2 separate regions of the Mus musculus genome follow, and region 2 is reported to be linked to region 1. The links are microRNA targets in miRTarBase. Many come from high-throughput screens and were not tested one by one. Region 1 holds a microRNA gene; the other region holds the end of a gene's coding sequence.
Evidence for each region. Region 1 holds the annotated microRNA mmu-miR-5123 (UGUAGAUCCAUAUGCCAUGGUGUG, at 5,158-5,181, opposite strand). A microRNA usually pairs through its seed, bases 2 to 8, with sites in the 3' UTR of a target mRNA and lowers its output. Matches are read on the target gene's strand: a 7mer-m8 pairs with bases 2 to 8, a 7mer-A1 pairs with bases 2 to 7 and ends in A, and an 8mer does both.

Region 1 (7,000 bases):
TCCAGGCCATGTCGCCATGCTTGTCTAACACAAATGTCAGCTTCTTTGAGTCTCCCTTAGAAGTCTAGTCTTTCTTTTTTTCCACACAAAAAAGTCTGTCTTGCTTGTTCTGTCACACCAACAGCAGCTCTGTGGTTTCAGGATGTCAAAGGCAAGAGGACATTATGCAAAACAGGAAGGAACTTTTAAAGAAAATGTTACAGACGTTTTTTAGAATGAACTCTGTCATTGGGCCAAGCATTCACTGAAGCCCCAGCCAGGCCCCTCCAGGCACATATGGAAAGGCAGGAAGGAGCCTGACCCTGACATTGCATGAGTCAAGCTGGTCCAGCAGAATCCTGTCCCTTCCCTTTAATGCAACCTTGCTCTAACTTCCAAGACTCGGCGCCAAATGACCCCAGCAGATTCTCCACACCCAACATTCCCTCAGACGAGAATCTAGCTCTGCTGATGACATTCAAAATGGAGTAACTTCAAAATACACTCCTTGGGAACAGCCAGGCAACAAGCAGCCAGAGGCCTTATTGACATAATCCCCCAAGTCCGCATAGAAAGCCAGCCTCTGTTGCTCTCCTGGGCTTTTCCCTTAAGAGAATTCCCGGAAACGTAAGATTCTCACTCCAGAGCCCCTCCCTGGAACTCAGGAACTTGTGGTAGTAGAGAAAGAATGTCACGTGTTTCAGAATCTGATTTGCTGGCTCGTTTCCCACAGAGGTCTGTGTCACATCTCGATGATGTCAGTAGCACTGGGTTAGCCCACTGGTGAGTACCCAGCACTCAGCTCTGGAGCCATATTAGGCTATATAAACCTATCCAGCGATTCGACAGCTAAGGAAACAACTAGAGAAAGTTGACTGAGGAAGCACCATCTCCACGGGGTTTTATTTACAGCAGATCCCTCCTCAGACAGATCTAAAGGTCTGCTTGGGGCTGTACTCTGGCCCCACCCAGGCGCTTCTTCAACCTATTCTCCTTTTGATTAGAATTCTAGACGTATCATTCTACATAAGTGATATTCATTTGACAGCACCATGCAAACCTGTAATTTCCCAATGCACTTAACCCTTTGTACGAAGGCTTGACACCTAATGCTTCTCAAAAAGAATTCACTCTTTTCTTTTTCTCTTTTGGAAAATGTTCTACAGATACCACACACACACACACACACACACACACACACACACACGTACAACTCTATGCCCAAGGCTCATTACACCACCAGGAAAACAAAAACCACATCTATGTGTCTAACAGTCGAGTGATAAGAAAGTTATGGCATTTGCTGTTGACCAAGAGGATACCGCTCTTGAGATTTATTGGTTAGTTTTATTTATTAATTTTCTCAAAGTGTTGGGGCCTCACACCTACTAGCAATCACCCTTCCACTGAATGATAGCCCTATCTCACCTCTGTGGTTTTCTTTTTTTAAAGATGCAGGACCCAGATTGTAAGAGAACCTTAAATGAAAAAGGATAATCACCAGGCTACTGCATGAACTCAGATCAGTCCATTCCTCTGGTTAAGACATCAGCCATGCTGGGTGTCTTAGTTAGGATTCCTATAGCTTGATAAAGGCCATGACCAAAAGCAACCTGGGGAAGAAAGGGCTAATTTCATCTTAGAAGTGAAGCAGAAGCCATGGAGAGAGGCTGCCTACTGGCTTGTTCCTCCTTCATGGCTTGCTTGGCAGCTTTCTTATAGCACCCAGGACAACCTGTCCAGGGGGTGGTACCACACACACCCACAATGGACTGGGCCCTCCCACACATATCAATCATCAAGAAAATGCATCGCAAGCTTACTCACCGGCTAATCTAGTGGGAGCATTTTCTTACATGCAGTTTCCTCTTCCCGATGACTCAAGTATGTGTCAAATGACATAAAAACTAGCCAGTACACGGAGTACGGAGAGGCAGGAGCTAAAAGCCTAGGCTACCTTGCAAGACACTGCCAGATAAAATAAAATAAAACAACCCAGGAACAAGTTATCAGCTGTATTCTTTTCTTAAACATACAAGAAGGGAAGACGAGTAGAAAACGGGAGGGCAGGCTTATCTTAGGTGAAAAGAATGTGGCTTTCATTTGCATGTTTTCAGAGTTGAAGATCACCAAACCTAGGACTTACCTACAAGTGTTCTACACTGAGTTATACCCTCCCATTCCATATTACTTTCCACAAAAATTAAGATTACTAACACCCTCACAAAGAAAAAGGCAAATACAAAACCCATAGCCTTTGTCCTAATACCTAAGAGGCAAATCATTACAGTTACGCAATAGACCCAGAACGTACTTAAAATCACTGCCACAGAATTCAACAACACCCAATAAAAGATACAGCCCCTGGCCCTCATTTGTATAAGGAAGCCAAGCTGAAACAGAACCTGAACCTTAGCACGTGACTCACCCCTCTCTGTCTTCTAGTGACCGATCCCTTTAGGTCACATTCACCCAGAACTACCTCAGGCCAAACCACTACAGGCCTCTAACCTAGAGAGCTTTCCAAACAGGCTTTAGAGAGCTCTCTCCTGGGGCAAAGGCTCCCTCACCTCACCCTGCACAGTCCCAGACACACAAGGGGTCACAACCAAGGTCTTTTCAGCCACAGCTACAGTCAGCTTTCAGGAGACTTTGCCCTGTTTAGAAACAGGAAGGCTAGCTCTATGAAGATCATGAAGTTCAAACCGAGCAACGTTGCAGGGACTGGCCACTGGCTCAGGGAACACATCATGTATGGCAGGATCAAATGTAAACTCATCACACTGCCAAAGTCTCAAAGGGTTAGGACCAAAAGGGAAGTCTGTTTGTCTTAAGACCAGTCCAGAGCTGAGGAGATGGTCCAGTGGGTGAAGTTCTTGCTGTGAAATCATGAGACCCTGAATTTGAATCCCCATGTAAAAGCCAGACCATAGTATGTCTATATTCCCAGTGCTCTTAATAGGGAGATAGGGAGGTGAAGACAGGAGAATTCTGAACAGCTCATGGGGCAGGTTCCGCTGGTGTATGCAGCAGCAGACAAGAAATTCTGATTCAAACAAGGTGGAAGGCAAGGACTACTAATGCCTGAAATTGTCCAGTGACCTCCATAAGACGACCATGGCCAACATGCCTACAGACATACACACACACTGATTTTTTTTTCTTATAAAAAACTTACCACGCCACTGCATCATAAACCATGCAAATTTCAAATGGACATTAACTCAAGCAGATTTCCAGTCTCCTTTGGCAGGAACAAACAGGGGACAAAGAACAGAGGCCATAAATAACTGAGACATGAAGGAATCACCAGGTTTGACCAAAAATAATAGCTAGGTTGCTTTCACAGGGACCCTTAGCCCACTGAGCCCAAGGTGATCCAGTGTCTGAACGGTCCCAGGGCAGAATCTATGGGAGGGCTCCGAGCGACTTGGCATCAACTGCCCCATCATCCTCAACCCCTAAATTAGCCTGGAAATCCCTACCCTGCTGCCACTCAAAGACCATAATACCCAGGCAGATGGCGGGCGATATCTCATTATAATCATTATAGCGCAGCAAGTTAAGATTACCCAGCACAGCTAATGTATGGCTTCGGAAAGAAAAGGAAAATTTTCACACAATCAAATAAAACCAGGACGGAAGAACTGTGACATCAAGCCTGAGTTTCTTTCTGAATGAAAGGAAGGTAGGATATAATATTAGAGAAAGGAACATGGGATCTCTTGAGTGTGTGCAGCACACACACACACACACACACACACACACACACACACACGTGGGGTGTTCAGAGACATTAGCACAATAATTAAGTCTCTCTTGCTTAAACTGAAAATTGCTACAAGGAAGACATTTTGTTTTCTTTATAGTTCTAGCTCCACACAGCACACACTGTAAATGAATGATGTTACCGCAGTCGTCCAGACATCCGTATAAGACCTATCAGAGGAAGGGATACGAAAGCATAACTTAGAAGGATCTTCTTTCCAATCTCTAGAATATATCATGACAATTCCTGGTCCTCTGAACTAGTCTCTTTGGACATTAACCTGAGGCAAAAATACCAGACTCCTCTTCAGGGATGCTAAGCCAAGAAACTAGAGTTTAAAGCCAATCCCACATTTGGCTCTTATTTTCCATGTCCCAAGGACTGTCTACCTGTTCTTCTGCCACAGGGGGTTCCCACACTTGTTCAGAACCTGGGATATTTCTCCCTGGTGCTGGATTAAGCCCAAGGCCTTGTATATGCAACCACTTAGTCACACCCCTAAAAAGTGTAGAATAAATAACTGTCAGGGATCACTCTTATCCTGCCATAATGCTATTTGGAAGAAATTAACAGGTTTCACCATGAAAAAGACCCAGACTGTCATGGAGGGTATTTCTCAATGACCTTGGCAAACAGGTTTCCGTATTACGGCCACCTGACTGACTGAGTTGGGAAGAGCTGAGACCTTGTAATGGTTTTACTGGAATGTACATCTCTGCTCCGGGTAGGAAAGGGTATGTCCAATATGACTGTAAGATAAAAGACAGTAGGATCTGTGTGTAATCAATAAATTATTGCCTCCAGAGAAAAGCAGCAAGACAAACTGGCTTGTTACCCAAAGTCAAAGCTGCAAGATCTGCGTCCAAGAGAGGATCTCTGTGCCTCCTCTAAAACCCAGGATGAGATTCCACCCTAAAGCAGAGGGTGCTAGAGTCCCAAGAGCCATCTCAGAATGGGTAGGTCCAGGACAGCCCTCTTCCGAGCCTCACAGTACAGACTGTTCTAATCAGCCTGCCTGTGTCTGCACATGCACAAATGGGTGAAGGTGGCAGCATGATAAAGAGGAATGCCTGAGAGCCAAGAGCCCAGCAGAGACGTAGTAAGTATTTCATCTTCACCATCACATTCCATGGCAGAGGCTCAGCTAAAAGTAGCCCCCAAAAGCCAGGGAGTTGGGCTCATGAACAGGGCTCTACTCTAACTGGGCTGTTTGCTTCTAGATAAGAATCCTGGGCCAGCAAGATGGCTCAGCAGGTAAAAGGTGCTTGCCACCAAGCCTGACAGTGTGAGTCCTGTCCCTGAAACCTCTGAGCTCCACATTCACACCATGGCATATGGGTCTACACACCATGGCATATGGGTCTACACACCATGGCATATGGATCTACACACCATGGCATATGGGTCTACACACCATGGCATATGGATCTACACACCATGGCATATGGGTCTACACACCATGGCATATGAGTCTACACACCATGGCATATGGGTCTACACACCATGGCATATGGGTCTACACACCGTGGCATATGGGTCTACACACCGTGGCATGTGGGTCTACACACCGTGGCATGTGGGTCTACACACCGTGGCATGTGGGTCTACACACCGTGGCATGTGGGTCTACACACCGTGGCATATGGGTCTACACACCATGGCATATGGGTCTACACACCATGGCATGTGGGTCTACACACCATGGCATATGGGTCTACACACACACACACACACACACATCTTCCCTTTGAACAAATGAAGGGTATCTCCTTAAAGCACAGTTGGTCAAAAGGGGCCTCTGAGGTTTAAGTTGTCCAGTGTCCACTGCCCCCTTGAAAGATCTGTACCATCTGTCCCAGACCCCCGGCTGAATCAGCCAGTCCTGCTTCCCCAAATCAATCCAGCCTGACGTGCTGTCCCCCTTTCCACTAACACCACACCCAAAATGCCTGTGCCACAGCCAGTCAAATTTTGTCAAGCTGTGCCAAATATGAGCAGATAAAACCTTCTGGAAAAAGATAAACATTCCGGGAAAGAACCACAAGGCCATGCCTCCTCTCAGCCCGGGCAAACATTCAGAGGGCCAGAAAGGCCGGCTCACTGCTACAGCCAGTAGAGTACACAGTGACAGTTACCTGGAGGCCTGTCACAGGGCTAAAGAAAATGCCTGAAGTAACTAGAGTTCTCTGGGCAAATAGAAGACTTATCAGGCACGGCCAGCTAACCCCTGTAGCCCACAGTGGAGTAAGGAAGGATGGGACAGACAGACAGACAGAGGCTCACACTAGCCCTACAGATGAGAGGAGTGCCCACCATCACTAGGACTGCAAACAATACAGTTTGCCCCGGTTACACATATATTGCCTAAGCACAATTCCAACCTCAGTCTATCTAAAGTCCATTCAAATATTCTGACAAACCCAAAAGCAGATCTAACAGCAACCTATCAGCAGCCGGGTCTGGTCCCTTACCACCTCAAAGTCACCAGCTATCAACTGAAAAAGATCCAAGCATCTGGCTTAGACTGCTGGACACCAGAAAGCAGAGGAAAGTTGGGGAAAGGAACTGTGAGTAGTAAAAAGGCCACCGTGCTAACCCCCTAGGGGTGCTTTCTCCCACCAACCTCAAAACCACGGTCAAGGGCTTTGGCTGACACCTGCCCAGTGGAACAGATGGGCTTGACACTACACACACACACACACACACACACACACACACACACACACACAGAGTCCCAAATACACTTAAAAGTTTTCTTAAGATTCCTTCTGACCAAGAACCGCCCCCCAAAAGCTGCACCTAAGCATTCAAATCTAAGGGCTCAAATTAATAAAAACAAAACAAAACCTAACCTCCTACCCTTGTTTCTGCGATTGTGGTCTCAGCAGAAACCTAGACATCAGTCCCATGCAAGTCACATGAAGGTAGCCAGGCCAGAAGAGGCCTAGGCCTCTGGACTCCACAGTCTAAAGTGATCTCTCTCAGTAAGGTCCTTTTGAGCTGTCTATTTCAGGATGAATTGAGCAACCCACATTACCAAACCAAACTGAACAGAACTATAGTTACCACAGTCCCTCATATTTCAGCAGGAAGAACCTATACTCTGAACAACTATAAACCTGGTTTTCTCTTTGAGATAGGATCTGATGTTTGCTCAGTTTTATAATCAAGGCTTTGGGCAGGCCAGACAAGCCTTCCACCATCTGAGCTATGTCCATGGCTCTGGGGTACTTAACTAATTAATTTGTCTTT
Region 2 (7,128 bases), not on the chromosome of region 1:
ACCCTTTTCATGATTTGCAGTATAACTACCACTGGTCCCCAAGAGCACAGAATCAGTGTTACCAGACTTCTTAGTTTTATGTAGTTTGCTGTCATGGCCACATTTGTGAGTGCTTATCTCTGCAGGTGTAAGAGATGGAGGCTGGTTAATGCTTGCCTCAAGTTTGTTATTTTCTACAGCTGAAAGCTCTGAGACGATGTCTTTCCATTTTTCCAATCCTCCAGTCTCCACAGGTGATAATGGTGGGGGCGAGGGACTTCGAGATCTACAGGTATTTTGAAGAGTGACTGAAAGATCACAAACTTCCCGTGACAAAGGAGGACTGTGACAGGCTGGTTTTGTAGACTGAGTCTTTGCTAATTGTCCACAACAGCACCTGTGTGGATTAGAACTGTTTTCAATTCCTCGATTCATTACTGTCTTAATGTGTTCAACAGTTACAGTTTGACAAGACAAACACTGTATTTCTTTAATACAGACTGGCAGAGGCACTAGACCAGGGCTTTGTCTCTCATTCTGTAAACACCCTCTTTCTGCCAGTCTATATTCACAGCTACAGAACAGACCATGAAAACCATCCTCCAATAGGGGCTTTTGAGATTCTGAAGACATAGCACATGATGAATTACAACAGCAAAGAGAAGCAGCATTCTGCTCTTGGACTAGAAATTTCAACATAGCCAAAACTTGTTGATGGTGATGTATGCACAAAGATTCCAAAACTTTGCTTAATGCTGATTTTCCTTTTTCCATTTTAGTAGCTTCCTCTGATTTTGCATCAACAGTTGAACTAAAAATAAAAATCAAACAAAAAAATGAATTACAGCAAAAAATATCATAAGGAGTTATAATTCTTGACAGCATCTGAATGATGTATTTTGATATTGCTGGACTCCTGACTCCTATAGATGGAACTGCAAGGACATCTTGGTTATTTTTTTAGCAGAAACAGAATGAAGCACTGGTAAATAATTTCCTATGACAAAGCACAGGAGTCAAAGCAAAGGCTTTCACAATACAAAAGCAGATGATCACATATTATTACATCAACACGCTGGCAATATTAACAACTCTGGAAATACTATTAATAACCTTTAATGAAAAATGCTTCAGAAGAAATAAAAGTTTTTGTAAAGTAGGACACTTAGCCATATTTTATATGATCAGTCCTTGTTAATTCAAATAAGGAGATAAGGAGTGAAATCTTATTTTTATTTAAAATCCTTTGCTAGGTAGTAAAAGAAAATTTAATATTAAAAGAAAAGTTTACATAATCATGAAGAAACTTATCAAATTTAGGTTCCATATAAATAAGAGAGTATGTTTTTCTGAGATTAAGCTGAAGGCATTTTAACCTAGTAAGAATATAAAAGATAAAAGGAAGCTTTTGAAAAATTAAACCTACTTTTAGCTGGTTTTAAAAGCCTTGGAAAAGCACAGGAAAACTAAAGGTATTACTTACCTAAATACTAAATTTCAAGTGCTGAAAAATGCCCCACCACAGAAGCTAATACACATCTAGCTTTAACTAAGACCCATGTTTGCTAGTCAACAATATAGAAGCTCATATTTTTAAATTCAATACCAGTAGCAAGAAGAATAAAATATATTAAAGGAATTCTGTTTCAGAAAAGTATCCATTTTAATAAAACATCACCAAACTCTGTAGTGGGAATAGCCTTCCTCACCTAATTCCATGTGCCTGTCATTTGCTCCTAGTTGGCAAAAATGTTATTTAGGGTAAGAATTGGGATATATTACTTACAAAACTGATCCAAGAGAAGAATGTACTTTTTAAAAATAAGGGTTAGTATGTTCATGGTATTAAAATTTAAAGGATTTTCTTTTAAAATAAGCAGTGAAATCAGTACTTTTATAATTGTTCCCTGACATTGGAATCTACAGATACAATAATTTATTGAGTTGTACAAAATTATGCGGTCTGAGTAATAAAAATACCAAAACAAGTTCTGAGTATGTGATCAAAACATCACGGAGAAAAGTAACTATCAGATTTAACAAATGTTTTAGTAAGACTAACACACAATTTGACAAAAAGAATCACACAAAGCAAAAATAAACCAAAGTAAACAAAACTCTAAGTTCAGTGCTGTCACTAGACAAAAGGTGTAAGTCTAGTATTCTTCAGTAAATATTTTTTAAAATTAATTTTGTAATGGTAGAGTGTAAAATGATGTAAGGAACTCAAGATTCAATGTCAAAAGTTATTTCAAAAATGTAAAGCAAAGGTAACATCAAATGATAGCTACCAAATATTAATTATATCATTTTCCAGCGACTCAAGTTTATGACTTTCGATAACCAAGAGCAAAGCAAACATCCCCTGAGGAGTATAGTTCAGACAGTCTCTGAAGTAAGGTTCAGCATATTTATAACTAGTAATAAAGGGGAGAGCTTACGAGTTGTTACAATGTTATACTATATTTCAAAGATTAGTAATCTGTTTTAGCAGTTTCTAAGACGCTCCAAGGCCTTTTCCCGCTAATGAAATGATTTGCACAGCTGGGAGAGTATGCTTATTATCATGGCCAAAGCCCAGGGTGCAAGTCTCAATATAAAAATGAGCAAGCCCCGTCAAAATGATAAAAAGCAGCACTTGTTTAGTAATATAAACATGTTATTTCACTTTGATTAATCTTATAAAATTATGAATGTCACTGACTTCTATCTACCTTTTCTGACATTCTAAGGACACCATTGTTTAAAAGGAAGACTTTCCTTATTCAGTTTGCTAGTTTTAATACTGGAAATTTAAAAATACTAGTGGTTGCTGATAATATGAACAATAGATTAATATATCAGATTTTCAGGTATAAGAGTTGACCTTATACTAAATTAGTTACAAAATATAAAAAATTTTTCTCCCTCATTTTTCCATCATAGTCTCAAAGGGAATCATAGTGAGTGAACAGAAACATGTGTGAGTCTCCAATTCACAATTTATTCTCTAGTAATTATATAAAGATGCTAAAACTATAATTTTGAGACAGTCTCACAATGTAGCTTTGGGTGGCCTGGAATTCCCCATGTAGACTAAGCTGGCCTAGATAGAACTCACAGAGACCCACCTGCCTCTACCTCGTAAATGCTGAGGTTAATTAAAGGCCACCTTAGTCTACCTGGCTGTAATGTCTCTTCTTAGATCAATTCTTTCTAATTCTTCCTGTTTGTTTATAATCCCAAACATCTCATTTTTGTTTCTATTCTGCCTTTTTCTTAGAAATTTGTTGTGGAATGTTTCTTGGGAAAAGTCAAATTCTAACACTATTTAAAACTAAACCAAACAAACCAAAACCAAAACCAAAAAAACAAAACAAAAAAACCCTCCTCATAAGGACTCAAAGAACTCAGTATAGTCAAGTTTACTTTTCTTTTCCTTTACTGAATGAGTAAATTAACCACACACCGACAGTGTTGTAAATTTAAGTGCAAAAGCATTGAAGTGCTTTACTACAAATTACAACCTAGAAACACGTTAACTGAACAATTAAAATTCATACAATCAGATTTAGATATATAACAACACAAAGTAGGAACAAAATTACAGTACATGTACAACACAAGACAGATACATGAATTCATTAGAAAATATTGTAATAAATAATTCATGAATTATAGTGCAATTGATTTATGCATAAATATAACTAATTGCCTAACAATCAGTTTATATTAACAAAATCTGTCAAAATCAAGGCAGCCACAGAGTTTTACTAAATTACTGCGACAATGGAAATACTGCAATTAAAAAAAAAACCCACAAGTATCTGCACTGTAAACAACTAAAAAAGAAATCAGTTTCACTAAAGTCAGTATACAGTTTAATATAAAATTGTCATCAGCTATCAGAAATGGTTTAAACAACTTTACTGAGCAGTAGTTTTCTAAAAACAGAGGCACTGTTTTTTTCTTTTCCTTCTTTTTTTATTTTAAATATAAAATACTTGAGGAACATTCAAATAAGTAGAAAGCGCATAAGGGTTGCTTTCATATTCATTAAAAGTCAGCTGAAATTGGATTTTTCAGAAACTGTCAATTAAGTAGTAACTGGTAATTAAATTTTTAAAGGATTTTGAAAGTTTAACATAAAGCACGTTTTAATAGAACCAGTGGGGAGAGGGGAACCCATAAACTTCCCTGCCTTTCCTAGTTTGTATAATTAAAAAGTCAACTCAGTAATACAAACGTTATGTTTCTTTTAAAAGTTATGGGTGGATCATTACCTATAAACTATCAAAAAATATTTTAATTTACTATTTGACCAAAAATAAATAATAAGTACTAAAATGCTGCAAATTAACTTTAATATTACCTATAAAACTACTGGTCACTGTGAAGTCAATAGCAAAATGATCCCTGATTTATGAATGCTGTAAAGTTTTTGGTCAGGTCATCTTTTAAATGATAGAAAAGTGTTCTGTAAGTTTCCCTTTACTATAAACTTCTCAATCAATTTATCAATGTAAATATAGTGTGAGGAATAAAAAAGCTCAATACAATATAAATATTATGTAATGCATTCGAGCTCCCAAAGTTTTGCAAGTAAAATTCTGTATAAAGAGGTCAAGAAAATTGTTTTTTGAAGCATTTACTTTTTAACTTTGTTTTTCAATGGGAGGAGGGGGAAATATAATAAATAATCCATGTTCCGGTCCTCACAAAATATGGCTTAATTCTTTAAAAAGAAAGATGACCCTGACAAATGCTGTCTTGTAATCTATTAAGTATATTTTCTTGGGGGAAGAAAAAGATAAAGAGGATTCATACCCCAGTATGCAGGTAATGTTAACAGCTGAAAATGTTCAGTACAGATCTGAGAGACCAAGCGATTACCTGGTCATATATTTTCTCATTCTTCAGTTTCTTTAAATACATGCAAGCAGTTTTAAAGTTTAGTAGCTGAACAATCACAAGTTCATGTGATTACTAAATACACACAAACACAAGTGTAGCAACACAAGTATTTGACAAGGTGCACTTATATTTAAATTCAGCTGTAAGAATTCCTTTTGGATTTATAAAAAGTGGCTTAGGAACATGACCAGAACCTGAATTCTAACAGAGAAAAGGGCATAGAGGAGGAGTCTCATCTATAAAGCAGATCTCCTGTCTTTACACGGAGGTACATGCTTTATTACATTTCTACTACCAAAACTGCATACTTCATAAACCCACATGAATACTCTGACCCATATTTTTAAAACTGTTTTATAAAAATCACTGGTTTCATATGAGTCTAGTAAAAGTTAAAATGCACTGCCCAGCTTCTAAATATCCAAGTAGTAAAGAGTTTACATTACTGAAAATTCAAAACAGCGTCAGTGTTAAATATCTGTAAATCTATTCAAGACCCTGAACAAACTGCAAGTTTGGTTATTAGCAAAATGATAATGTATCACCCACCAAAATGAAATCTGTAATTCATCTTGATAAACTGAAAATGTTTTGAAATGTCACAGCAGCAAATATATTAAAGTTACACTGAGGTTTTTCAGTAGGAGTGTGTCACAATCCTTAAAGTAGTCATAACGTCAACTAACCAGCACATTAACCACAATGACCATTCTCAAGCTTGTCCTGCGCACATTATAAACATGCTCTAAGTGGCATTCCAACTTCTTTCCTAACCTTACACATTAGCTTAGTTTTCAAATGAAAAACAAAATTAAGTTACTTTAATAATTAAATTTAAATTACTTTTTGCTTTTAGTATTCCATCTTATATTAAAGGATTCTATAGCTTCTGGGGTTAATTAACTATGTCAGCTTTTTTAAAATTTAAATTATATACGTAATAACCCCAACTTCCTGCTAACTCAACAATTAAATGATAAATATTAAATTTTACTATACATATCCTTTAAGGTTTTCTCTTCTATCCTGGCGGATGCACTTTAGTGCATTCTGTATTTCAAAGAATGCACTGTAGTGTATTAATACTGTATCTATTAGTTACTCTTGGTACAGAGGTAACTATTTAACTTTGATTGGTTCTTTGACATACTCACAATCATTGTAGGTATGTTACATAAAAGTGTTCACAAACTATTAATATCATGTTTCCATTATGAGATGGTTCAACTGAATGGCTACAATCTTTTTACCAATAAAAAAATGTCTCACTTGACGGTTACTTGTTTCCCCACATTTATGCTATTGACTACTAAAGAAAACCTGAATCTTTTTCACCTATTTATACAAGGATTAAATACAAACTATCAGAATTAATAAGCAACTCTATAATTCTGTCCACAGTGAAAACCCTGAATAAAACTTTTTCAAAAGGCATGTAAGTGGTTTTTGAACTGTAAAATTTCATGTCTCCTGTCAGAGTGAGCATTTGTAATTTCCACATGTGTATGTAGATACACACACACAAAGACTCACATACCCCTGTACACATACATTCCTGCACGCACACGCGCGCACACACACTCTCACACACACACACACACACAGTCTCGCACATGTTCTCTAACAGTAATCTACACAGGCTTGCTGCTGTTTCTGCAGCTGCCAGTCCCTGAATCTGTCATATATAACCCAGTGTCTGGTAATCGTAGTTTCTTCTTCGGAGGAGTCTTCAGTGTTCCAGATCTTTCCTTTACCTTGTATTCTAAAGTGCTGTGAGGTACCCCATAGATTCCTTGTGCTTTGGAAACACTCATTTTCCCACTCATTACCATTGCAATGGCCTCTTCCATTATTTCATGATCATACTGTCGATAGCGGCCACGTTTTTTCCTGGGCTGCTTATTATCTTTCCGGTCCAGTCCATCTTCAGTGTTCTCAGAGGTTCCATCAACTGTTCCATTTTTAGAATTAAGACACAAAGGAGAGAGGTCCCCATGTAGAAAGTAAGAGTCAACACTTGAGTGAGTTACAGGCCCAGAACAGTCTAGTTTGTTCTGTTTAGGGAGTATATTTTTCAGTTTTTGGAGAGCTGATCCTTCAAGGACTGAAGAGGTTTTGGAAACTTGATACATGACATCCAGCAGACCAGAACCATCAGCTTGTGATTTTGAAACCGAATTTACTCGTAGCTGAGGAATTTTTAACTGTACAGGAGGATTTGAAGTTTCATATTGAAGGCTTTCATTTTTTTCTTTA

Region 2: the mRNA of Lcorl is a reported target of mmu-miR-5123. Seed matches in the 3' UTR shown: 7mer-A1 at 6,379-6,385.

What each region holds. Positions count from the first base shown.
Region 1 is chr4:40,844,944-40,851,943 of GRCm38, forward strand. Mir5123 (microRNA 5123) reads right to left here and starts at 5,195; the gene lies at 5,113-5,195. The region is part of intron 1 of B4galt1 (UDP-Gal:betaGlcNAc beta 1,4- galactosyltransferase, polypeptide 1); the gene reads right to left.
Region 2 is chr5:45,726,953-45,734,080 of GRCm38, forward strand. Lcorl (ligand dependent nuclear receptor corepressor-like) reads right to left here. Exons shown (of 7, transcript NM_001163073.1): 7 at 3,380-7,128. The coding sequence ends at 6,504. It overlaps Gm3414 (predicted gene 3414), which reads right to left and starts at 626. Exons shown (of 1, transcript NR_027993.1): 1 at 1-626.